Caenorhabditis elegans: one gene and its partner. The protein of the gene in region 2 interacts with the protein of the main gene of each other region in a pairwise test. Each region holds a gene or a part of one and is shown on either strand. Other genes may lie near its edges.

What was found.
Region 1: the proteins of chin-1 (region 2) and cdc-42 interact in a two-hybrid assay, tested with the Caenorhabditis elegans proteins (one study listed by BioGRID).

What each region holds. Positions count from the first base shown.
Region 1 is NC_003280.10:7,614,575-7,619,013, reverse strand, and holds cdc-42 (Cell division control protein 42 homolog), read right to left. Parts: upstream 2,563-4,439; 5' UTR 2,558-2,562; coding exon 2,435-2,557; intron 2,382-2,434; coding exon 2,217-2,381; intron 2,167-2,216; coding exon 1,969-2,166; intron 1,624-1,968; coding exon 1,534-1,623; 3' UTR 769-1,533; downstream 1-768. Other genes in the region: R07G3.8 (CYRIA/CYRIB Rac1 binding domain-containing protein), read left to right, coding at 405-500.
Region 2 is NC_003281.10:1,030,947-1,038,831, forward strand, and holds chin-1 (Chimerin 2), read right to left. Parts: upstream 6,267-7,885; 5' UTR 6,265-6,266; coding exon 6,234-6,264; intron 6,149-6,233; coding exon 6,003-6,148; intron 5,955-6,002; coding exon 5,838-5,954; intron 5,509-5,837; coding exon 5,360-5,508; intron 4,091-5,359; coding exon 3,940-4,090; intron 3,524-3,939; coding exon 3,233-3,523; intron 2,329-3,232; coding exon 2,177-2,328; intron 1,876-2,176; coding exon 1,806-1,875; intron 929-1,805; coding exon 770-928; 3' UTR 376-769; downstream 1-375. Other genes in the region: pnpt-1 (polyribonucleotide nucleotidyltransferase), read left to right, coding at 6,563-6,609, 6,659-6,738, 6,892-7,021, 7,098-7,239.

The DNA of each region.
Region 1 (4,439 bases), on a different chromosome or scaffold from region 2:
AAATGAAGGGGCAAGCTCGCTCCAACGCCAAACTATGAGTCTCGTTAGGAATTGACAGCATTAATTCATACAATTTGAAGTTGTTTTTAATGATTTTTGTTTCAAAATTATTATTTTAAAAATGCATGTGACAATGAAAATCGAATTTTTTTTTCGTTTATAAATTTTAATTCATCAATTTCGGACTGAAATTAATTTAAAAGAATAGCGGAAAGCATTTAAAGCAGACGAAAAATGTTTGAACATGTTCGAATTTCTAGTTTTCTGCGAATACCTAACGAGACCCAACAGTTTGTCCGTAAAGCGCGATTGCAAACGCGCTTTCAAAATGAGCATTTTTCTGCGCTTCCATAATAAAAATTAGAATAAAATTGAGCAACCCATATTAATTGTTTTATTTTCAGTCTGATTGTCTACTTGCTGGTCTTCGTTTCACAACAAAACATTATAATGATTCAAGTACTCCAAAATCTCTTCGTCATTTGATTGAAGTGAAATAATTTCATTTTTTGTCAATTTGTTCATTAATTCTAGTCATCCTTGCCTCTATTTTATGTTCTCTTATCGTTTCTAGTTGAAGCCCATTTCCTCATACACGGTGATTATGTTCCTCTCCTCGTCAAACAGTACTTTTTGTCAGTGATAATAATTATTTTTCGTTCCAATTCACCCACTCATTAATTATTTTTCTCAATGCCTTATGGTTCCGGTTCTTCTTTTTCTACAACACCCACTTGTATACTTTTCAAGATCTTTTATAAACATCTTAATTTTTTATATCACACCTTTATTGTTTTGGATCGCAAATATATAACAACAATATGTAGAAAAATTAAAATACAGAGTTGTTCTGGAGAAAGGAGGAGGGAGACACAAAACGTAGTGGATGAGAAAACAGTTTAAAATGGGAAATGGATGTGTGAAGGCAGAAAAGCACAAAAAAAAGGAAAGAAGAAAAACAAACTGGTCGGTATTTTTGAGCAGCAAATGAAGAAACAAGCGACTCGGGATGTAGTTGGTTGTGCTATACAACACCTATTATATAATTATAAAAAGAACCATGGGAAAGGAGAAGGCGCATTACGTAACGGTGTATCCGGACTATAAACACGTTTTGGGATAAAAAAGAAAATAAAAACGACGACGAAAATGTTAAAGAGGAGGTGTCATTGAAAAGAATGATAGTTAATTTGGATGAACTTTTAAAAATTTTCGAGGGGATTATTCGATAAAAATTCGAAAACAGATGAGAAACTATAAACTGCCCTGCTTATCGAAATTCTATACGAAACAATTAAAAAATTCTGGAATCATGCTCATCGAGATTCTACTGGATAAGTTACAGGAGACGAATTGAAGAAAATCATCTTCTATGATGCTGTCAAAAATAACAGCAACCGCTTCTCGTTTGGCATTTTTCAGGGAAATTTAGAAGTATGAGAAGAGTGGAAGTCGGGGGCTAAGAAAATTTGGACATAGAAAGAAAAACACAGTCACAAAACAGAGGAAAACATGGAGACAAGGAAGACGTTCCTAGAGAATATTGCACTTCTTCTTCTTCTCCTGTTGTGGTGGGTCGAGAGCGGCCAGAATGGCTTCGTCGAATACATTTTTCAGTCCCTTCTGAAAATAAACTATTTAAACTTCAATATACAAGCGTTTTTAATCAACATAATATGAAAACTATGGTATTTTCAGCCGGAATATAGAGCATTTCAGGAGATAATTTTTTGCACAATAAAAACAGAATTCTGGTTGTTCGTTTTTCCCGAAAACATGACCGTTGCTAAATATAAAGCAACAATTTAACTGAAAAGTGATATTTATATTTTAAAGTGTCACGTATTTCCACAAGAGCCTCGTTTTAATATTTAAAAATTTATTATTTGATTAGGTTTCGTGGATTGGATGATATTTTATTTTAATGTTTCAATATTATCAATGACTATTTTGGAAAGAATGACTCACCTGCGTCAACGCTGAGCATTCAACGTATTTCACTGCTTTCAATTCCTTTGCCAACTTCTCTCCAACATCCGTTGACACTGGTTTCTGCTTGTTTTTTGCCAGTTTCTCGAGCATTCCTGGATCATCCCTGAGATCGACTTGAGTACCAACTAACAAGAATGGGGTCTTTGAGCAATGATGCGAAATTTCAGGCACCCACTAAAACAATTTCAGATATATAGAATAAATTCGAGAACAATATTTCTTACTTTTTCTCGGACATTCTCGAATGAAGCTGGAGCAACCACGGAGAAGCAAACAAGAAACACGTCGGTCTGTGGATACGATAGAGGCCTTAATCGATCGTAATCTTCCTGTCCAGCAGTATCAAACAATCCTAATGTGTATGGCTCGCCACCGATCATTACTGTGACCTGAAATTCGGAAATTATTTTTATATAAAATAATTTTTTTTTCTTAAACTTACGGCGTAATTGTCGAAGACTGTCGGCACATACTCAGAAGGAAACTTGTTTGTGGTATAGCTGATCAGGAGACAAGTTTTACCGACAGCTCCATCTCCAACGACGACGCACTTGATCGTCTGCATTTCGCCTGAAAAAAAAAATGAATAAAAGTATTAAAATTACGTCTTTATAGTGAAAAATACGGATGAGTCACATAAATGTGCACGCACACGTTTTAAAAGGAGAGATAACTAGAGAATGAAAACGAATTGCGAAACATCAGGCAGAAAATCAATAGTCTCTTTCGAAATGCCACGAGCGTTTCTTTACCATTGGGAGCAATAATTATCGAAGAAAGAGCAAGAAAAAAAAACGGTAAACGCCTTAATAAACGATGAAGAAATAAGGCAAAATGGCCAAAACAACTTGTGCGTATAATTCTTTAGATGAGGAATTTTGGCAATGATTCATCGGTAACTGGTCGGAAGTTTGAATCGGTTTTCCGTACCAAACAACTTGCATATATTTGAAACTAGTTATATTTAAGAAAAGGTACAAAAATAGGAATAATTCGACATGAAACACTGGAACATCTCAGTCAGGATTATGTTAGGGGAATTTGGAAGCAATGTTCAATAAAATGTCACGAAAATGATTTCAATAATTGTTAAACAGTCAGACAAACTTAAGCGGACCATTTTTTAAATAATTTAAAACATGATTGCTCCTTTCGAGAAAATTTATCAAATTAAAAACTGATAGGATACTTCGATCGTCTACCTACGTTTATTGATTAATTCTGCTCTTATAAATGAATAATCAATAATTAGAAAAAACAATAAAAGCCTGTAAAACAACGAAAAGCGTGAATGAGCTTTGTTGAACACGGCGAAAAAAGGAAAAAAAGAAGATGGTGGACAGTTTGTCGGCGAGCCTAAAGACGACCGCGACGCGGCCGCTCGCACTCATAGACTACGCTAGTGGTGAGATACGCAGAGAAAAAGACGAGAGAGTATTGAGAGAATGGAGACATCACTACATCTAACATAGGGTCGCCAGTCGTCACCGAATTATTGGATTCAAATTTAGGTCCCGTAACTCGTGAAAACTTATTAGATCGGTCAGTTATCTAGATAGAGTACTTGATTAGACAAATGATATCCCAGACTGGTCAGTTTCAGTCTAGAAATGACGCTGTAAACTTCGTAAAACCACCAAATAGGATTTCTAAAGTCATCATCTAGAATTTAAACTATATCTCACTTTGTTACGCTGTGAGGATATTATACATACATATTTTGTATGTAAGCTTAGTCTATAACTAGCGTAACCCGTTCCATGCTAACAGACGGGCGGCCATTTTAGTTTTTTATTTTTCCTGTGCGAACGATTGCCAGCCAGAAACTTCTTTCTTTTTTCTTGTTTCTCCTAGTGCAGAATATTTGTCCTCAATTTATAAATACCATCTCTAGAATATTAACTTCGATTGAATCCGTTGTGTTTTCCATTTTTTCTCAATTGTATTTCGTAAAATTAATTTTAAAATTGCCTTCTTTTTAATTTTAAGGTTTTATATTTCAATATGCTATTTCGTATTTTTTGTCTTACATTTCTAGATAGAATTCTAACAATGCTCCGATTGAATCTCACTCGCGAAATTTCTATTTCTCTTCTTTCACTTCAATCCAATCGACGATTCAATCTGCCCTAAATTTTTAGAATTGCATATTTTCTCTTGATAACTTCATTGTAAACCGTGTGAATTCCATGAAATTACATGTTCGTAATACTTTTCCCAATTAAAAGAAGAAAAATTTGGAGTTTCGATAACCGACGGCGCGTACTTCTCTTCTTCCTTATTGTTCGATCAATAGTCCCCCAATCCGGTTCCCTGCCGCGTCTCCTCCCTTTTCCGCGCGAGATGTGCCTGCTTTTCGTTCATGAATTTCGTTTACAACGTCATCAGCTCTTTTTCTGTATTCATTCTGAACACATTCCCGCCTTCACTCGAATTTACCGCCACCG
Region 2 (7,885 bases):
GCTTTCGAAGTTGAGATTTGGAGCCAAATTACCCAAATTTTGAGGTAGTGGATCAATTTTTCAGGTTCTGGAGCACACATCGGGCTTTGCAGGTATAGAAGTTCCGTTCTGAGCTGAAAATCGAGATTTGGAGCCAAATGACCTGAAATCTGGTATTCTGAGTCAAATTTTCAGGTTCTGAACGGAGTTTTAACATTTTCAGCTAGCATTTGAGCTGCAGAGCAAAAATTTGGCGGTGTTTGGGCTTCTGACTGAAAATCATCGGTTCCAAGCCAAAATTCAAGGCTTTGAGCCAAAAACTGCAGAAAAATATGAAAATTTCGGAATTCAACGCGCCAGGGGTCTTAAAATCACAAAATTTTGAGAATTTTTGAATTACAGCTCAATAAATTTATATTCTAAAACTCGGAAAAAAACATTATGCAATAAGAACGTAACAACATGTGAAAAATAAGGAAAAATCATAAATAAATGCATAAAACTGGTCAAAAAACATGCAAAAGCGAGAGAAAACGGGTACCCGATATGTAAATGAAGAAAAGTATGCGGAGAGATGAGAGAAATTGCTGAAGAAAATGCATAAACTGGGAGATATAGATCTAGGAAAATGAAAATTTAGGCAGAGGTTCCCCGGGAAAGTGGTCAAGCCGGCTCGGTGAGCAATTAAAAGTCGAAAATTCCAAATTTTCACAATTTTTCATACGAAAATTTGAGATTTTCGACCCAAAATCGCCGATAGAGCACACTTGCCACCACGGGGAGCAATAAATTAATGATGTTTCGGCACGACACGTGGATTATTGATCAGAAAATGGAGCAGCTGATGGTTCGGCATGGCGGGTATGGAGCCCGAGCAGAAGAGTGTCGGCGAGAAAATTGTCGCCAGATTTTCGACGGTCATCTTGTTTTTTGCACTGTGATCTGCCACCTGGAATTGGGGAAATTTTTTGAAAAATTCCAGAAAATTTGTTTGAAAATTCGAATTTTTTAACTTAAGAACTAATTTTTTAGGGGAAAACTAAATTTCAAGCCAAATAAAAAATATTGGCCACAGCGGGGGTCAAACCTCGGTCTTGTGCTTGGCAGCCATCCGTGTTACCCACTGCGCCATCGGTGCAAGTTTTAAATTTCGCAAAAACTGGGTTTCGGGGTATTTCTAGGGGGTTTGCACTAATTTTTACACCTAAAAGCTATGAAAAATTACTAGAGTTGAGTTTTTAGAATATTTCCTTGTTCTTACGAAAAAAAATTAAGCGAATTTTGCAAAAGTTTGAGCCATAAAACTTTAAAACGCTATGAGAACCAATTCCAAGCAAAATAAAAGAAATTCGCCCCGGCGGGGGTCGAACCCCGGTCGTGTGCTTGGTAGCCATCTGTGTTACCCTCTGAGCCACAGGTGCATTTTTGAAAATTTGCGGAAAATGGGTTTCCGGGAATTCTTAGGGGGTTTAAACTGATTTTTACACCTAAAAGCGATGAAAAATTGACTAGAATTAAGTTATTTGGGGCTTTATTCATTTTTATAAGAAAAATTCGAAATTTGGACAGAAAATAATTCTAAAACTGGTTTTCGACACTTTTAAATGCTTTGAGAACCAATATCAATCAAAACAAAAAATTCGCCGCAGTGGGGGTCGAACCCCGGTCGTGTGCTTGGCAGCCATCCGTGTTACCTACTGAGCCACCGATGCATTTTCGAAATTTCGCGAAAATGGGTTCTAGGGTATTTTCAGGGGGTTTGGAGTGAATTTTTAGGTCAAAAACCTTCGAAAATCCACTTAAATAGTGAAATTTTGAATTTTTACCTTTTTCAAATGCGCCAACACTGCTCCAAGTGTGATTATGTTCGCATCGGACAGCTCCATCATCACTTTTCTGAAATTTTCCAGTAATTTCAGAATGTTTTCCAGTTTTCGAGAGAAAAAATGAAAATTTGGGCAGAGGTTCCCCGGGAAAGTGGTCAAATGGGCTCGGTGAGCAATTTTGGGTGGAAAAATTCAAATTTTCACAGTTTTTTACGCGAAAGTTTGAGATTTCCAAGTCAAAATCGCCGATAGAGCACATTTGCCACGGAATTTCCAAAAAAATTTTTTAAAGCTATTTTTTGGCTCATTTTCACCGGGATTTCTACAATTTTGGGAAAATTTTGGACCCAAAATCCCCAAATTTCCAGCACCTTATCTGCCGCTCCCTCTCATGTGTAGATCGTTGATTCGTCTCCTGGTAGGCGACGAGAAGCTGCTTATGGACGCTGAACGGGATCAGTTGCTGTGGTAGTAGGCGGAAGTAGAGCTTCAAGAGCCCGCAAACTGTGTGAATATCGCAAACCTGAAAAAATTGGTGAAATTTTGAGAAAAATTGAAAGTTTTTTGGGGTAAAAATGAAAATTTGGGCAGAGGTTCCCCGGGAAAGTGGCCAAATGTGCTCGGTGAGCAATAGAGGTCTGAAAATTCCAAATTTTCGTAGTTTTTTATGCGAAAATTTGAAATTTTCAGCCCAAAATCACCGATAGAGCACATTTGCCACGGAAAAGCATACAAAGACAATTTTAAAGAAGAATTCAAAAATTTAGTGAAATTTTTGTGAATTTTCTAGAAAACAATAGACAGTTTTTGAATTTTCGAATTTTTTAGTGTGAGAAAACTAATTTTTTTTCGATATTTTCCAGTAAATTTCAGATTTTTACACAAAAATTGAGTTTCAAGAAAAAATTTGAGTCATAAAACTTTAAATCGTTCTGAGAATCAATTTCAAGCAAAATAAAAGAAATTCGCCGCGGCGAGGGTCGAACCCCGGTCTTGTGCTTGGCAGCCATCTGTGTTACCTACTGAGCCATAGGTGCATATTTGAAATTTCACAAAAAACGGGTTCTAGGATATTGTTAGGGTTTTCAAAGTGAATTTTGCAGTAGAAAACTTGAAAAATTGAGCTGAATATGTGAAATTTCGAGTTTTTCGAGTAAAAATGAAAATTTGGGCAGAGCTTCCCCGGGAAAGTGGTCAAATGTGCTCGGTGAGCAATTCCGGGTGGAAAATTCCAAATTTTAGCAGTTTTTTTATGCGAAAATTTAAAATTTTCAAGCCAAAATCGCCGATAGAGCACATTTGCCACGGAAATCTTATTTTAGGTCAATTTTCTTCAATTTTTACGATTTTTGGCTCATTTTCTTTGGATTTTTGCAATTTTTTAGGCAAAAACTCCGGGAAAACGCTGAAAATCCCGCGCAAATTACCGTAGCCAAGTCCACATATTGATTAGAATCAAACTGTTGCTTGAGCTTTTCCATATGATCATAGGATCCCGAAACCCGATAAATCCCCTCCACATCAAGACCCCTCGATTCGACTTCTCCAATGCAAAGTGGCACGATTGGCGGCAAATCTGCTCCGTGAGCCATGCACAGGGTGGTAATGTCGACGCCGAACATGCGTTTCACGTATTTCGAGTCGGGCACACAGTCGTGAAGCGTTTTTTCCGAGCATTTTTTGTGAGCCGCGAAGCCACAGTCCTCGCATCGCATTCCCTGGAAAATTTGATTTTTTTGAAATTGTTTCTCGAAAAAATATTAATTGCGCTAATCCTTCATAAAATTCGAAATCAGCGCAAAATTTAGCCTTAAATAGCTTTAACTCAGACTTTCTAGCTCAATTTTGAAATTTCGCGGGGTACTGTAGCTCCAAAAGTACGCAAACACCGACTACAGTAACCCGAAACACCGGATCTTACGTAATTGCGAGATTTTTGCCTGAAAAACGAGTTCCGGGGGTAAAATAGTGCGGGGAATTCGAAAAAGGCATTAAAAATCCGAAGAAATTGCCAGTTTTTGCGAAAATTGTGTTTTTTTCATGAATTTTTTTCAAAAAATTCCAGAATTTCGCCCTAAAATTTCACAATTTCCAGTTTTTTCTTAATTTTCGCGTATATTTTATAATATTTTACCTGATGCACCAATCCCCACAGGAAATTTCGGCAATAATCACAGTAGTGCGGAGCTTTGAAGGTGTACGACGTGAAGTTGTGTGCTCGAGTGACGGGACGGCGTACAATGTCTGAAGTGGTGGCGGCGGCGTTCGTATACCGAGAATATGGGCTGAAAAATCGATATTTCTATGGGGAAAACTGGAAAAACCGCAAAAATCTAAACTGTTTAAGGTAAAAATGAAAATTTGGGCAGAGGTTCCCCGGGAAAGTGGTCAAATGGGCTCGGTGAGCAATGTCGGGTGGAAAATTTCAAAATTTTTCAGTTTTTAATGCAAAAATTTGAAATTTTCAGCCCGTAATCGCCGATAGAGCACATTTGCCACGGAAAAGCGTACAAAGACAATTTCTAGGGAGAATTCAAAAATTCAGAGAAAGTTTTCGAATTTTCTAGAAAAAAATTGGAATTTTTGACGCGTTTCGTAGCTTTTTAGCACTGAAAAATCTAAATTAGGGCAAAAAGACTAGTTTTTGGATATTTTTCAGTTTTTACCGTAAACTTGTCATATTTTTTCACTATTTTCCGATTTTTACATCAAAATTTGACCAAAATCAGGGAAAACTCAATTTTTCGGCAATTTTACGGTAATTTTGAGCTCTCGAAGCTTAAAATTAGCAATATTTTAATTTTTTCAAGTTTTTAAGGTAAAAATCGAAATTTGGGCAGAGGTTCCCCGGGAAAGTGGTCAAATGGGCTCGGTGAGCAATTAAAAGCTTAAAAATCCAAATTTTTGCAGTATTTAATGCGAAAATTTGAAATTTCTAAGCCAAAATCGCCGATAGAGCACATTTGCCACGGAGAAAACAGAAAGTAGGTTTGAATTATTTAAGTGAGCTTTTTATTGAAATTTTTAGAATTTTCTAAGAAAAAATTGGCAGTTTTTGAATTTTCGACGCGTTTTGTAGTTTTTAGCATTTAAAAATTAACGTTAGGGCAAGAAATCTAGTTTTTACCATATTTTTCAGTAAATTTCAGATTTTTCCCACTATTTTCCGATTTTTGGAGCAAAATTCAACCAAAAACCCGAAAATTTTGCATTTTTGAGCTATTTTACGCTTTAAAAGCAGAAAATTAGCGAAAATGTCATGTTTCCAAAGTTTTTGAGGTAAAAATGAAAATTCGGGCAGAGGTTCCCCGGGAAAATGGTCAAATGTGCTCGGTGAGCAATTAAAAGCTTAAAAATCCAAATTTTTGCAGTATTTAATGCGAAAATTTGAAATTTCCCGCCTAAAATCGCCGATAGAGCACATTTGCCACGGAATTTATATTCTAAGTCAATTTTCTTCAATTTTTATAATTTTTGGCTCATTTTCTTGTGATTTTTGCCATTTTTCATGATTTTCGGCCTATTTTTCGCTAATGTTCCGCCAATTCCCATACCTATCCTCATAAATCGCCTCATCCGCCATTCTTTTTATATAATCCGCCGCGTGAAGGTCCACAAACATTGAAATGAGCCCATCAGCCACCAAAAGGTCCATAGTGTCGAAACGCTTCTCCCCAACGTAGAATTGACCGTCGTAGTAGAGCTGGAAATTTAAAAATTTGGCTAAAAATTGAAAAAATCCCAAGTTTTTGAATTAAAAATGAAAATTTGGGCAGCGGTTCCCAGGGAAAGTGGTCAAATGTGCTCGCGGAGCAATTTTAGGTGAAAAATTCCGAATTCTCGCAGTTTTTTATGCAAAAATTCGAGATTTCCAGCCTAAAATTGCCGATAGAGCGCATTTGCCACGGCGAGTTAACAAAAATTGGGAATTTTTCACTAAATTCGAAAATTTAGCGGAAAATTTGATATTTTTCGGGTATTTTCTTGATGTTTATCGATTTTTTCTGCTTTTTAAACTCTAAAAATGCTTACTTTATAATTCATAACCTTTGCATCAAAAATCATACACAAAGTGCACGCGTCTCTGCTCCGATTCGACTCCCGCACCAAATACGAGCCTTCTCCGGCCTCCAGCAGCATTTTTTCGGCCTGAAAATCGAATTTTCGAGCTTAAAACACCCAAAAATCACTAAAAACCTCATTTCTATCGATTAATCCGTGAAATTCGGCTCCAAAATGTCGAGGTCTCTGCTGAAGAGGTTTTCGGCACAAAACTGCGTTGGGTTTCGGCGCTTTTTCTTGTAAAAGGTACAAATTTTGCTTCCAGTATCCTTTTGATGCTCCTGGAAATTGGAAAATTTGAGATTTTAGCTTTTCGGATATTTTTAAAGCTTCCAAAACTTGTTGAGCTTGAAAAAAATGACTTACCCGAGCTCCCAGGAGGCCCGTCGTCTTCCATACCTGCAAAAATTCGATTTTTATTGATTTTTTAACTGAAAATGCAAAAAAATCGAAGAAATTTGGAGAAAAATGAGCAAAGTTGAGCTAATTTCTTAGAAAATAAATAAAATTCTGAAGAAAATCGCGAAAAGTGCCAGCGATCGAGACACGCGCCAGCAAAATTTCCTTGGCGCATTTCTCGACCAAATTATTTTTTTAATTCAAAACTTGAAAATATTGAATTTTCACTCATTTTCGCTGTTTTTTTCTCAATTTTTCGATAAAAATTGAATAAAAATTAGTTTTTTAGATTAAAAATGAAACTTTCCCGGTTGCCAATCCACATTTCCAAGAGATTTCACACGTAAGTCAGAAAATTATTCAAAAAAATAAAAATCTGGCGAGTTTTCCAGGAAAGAATATCGATTAGCGGGTCGAGAACAATCAGTAGCAGTGGATTTTGATGGAAAAAGTGGAATCGAGCTGAAAGCTGGTGGGAATTTGAAAAAAAACTAGAAAAAAAACGGGAAAAATTGCTAAAAATCTTAAAAATAAAGATTTCGAGCCGATTTTTGCCGCAAAAGATGCGCGAAAAAATTCTCCACTGTCTAGAAAAGGAATTTTCATGAAAATTTTGATTTTTCAGGCCACCTCGCCCGTTTTGCGTCATCCACCGTAGTTGCTTCATTCGGAGACAACGCCGTGATGGCTACAGTAGTACAACGGAAATCCAAGCAAGGAGATGGTAGTGGAGTACCGCTACAAGTTGAATATCGGTGAGAAATTCGGAAAAAAAATTGCGAAAAAACCGCTAAAAACCGATAAAAATGGCCTAAAAACTGAAAATTCCAGACCGTCAGCGTCAGCAATTGGCCGAATTCCAACAAATTTCCTGCGTCGTGAGCTCAGTCAATCTGACAATGAAATCCTCATCTCCAGAGCCATTGACAGGTCGATTAGACCACTTTTACCCGGAAATTCCTATGAAACTCAGGTAAAACTGGGATTTTCAGCGAAATTCAGAGGTTTTTGTTGGAAAAATCGAATTCTACGCGAAATTCTGCCTTAAGACCTTTAAAATTGGGTTTTCTATCGCAATTTTTGGAGTTTTGGGGTACGGTAGCCCCAAAAGTACGCAAACACCGACTACCGTAGCCCAAAACACCGGATCTTACGACATTTTAAGATTTTGCCCTGAAAAATGGGCTGAGGGGCTAAAAAATCACGAGGAACCCGAAAAACACATTGAAAACGTCTGAAAAATTCTGAAAATTCTGAGAAAATCGAATTTTTCAAAAATTTTAGTGCAAAAAATTGAAAAACCAACGGGAAAAGTTAAAAATTCGAAATCAGCGCAAAGTTTAGCTTTGAACAGCTTTTAGTATGACTTTTTAGCTCAATTTGGAATTTCGCGGGGTACTGTAGCCCCAAAAGTACGCAAACACCGACTACCGTAACCCAAAACACCAAATCTTACGACATTGGTGGAAAAAAAGGGGTTTAGGCTTAAAAAATTACAAAAAACTCCAATTTTCTAGTTCGAAATTACTAAAATTGAGGGAATTATGTTTTTTTTTCCAAAAAAAAAAAGTTTTTAAACATAAAAATTTAAAATTGGTTAAAAAGCCGTAAAAAAGTTC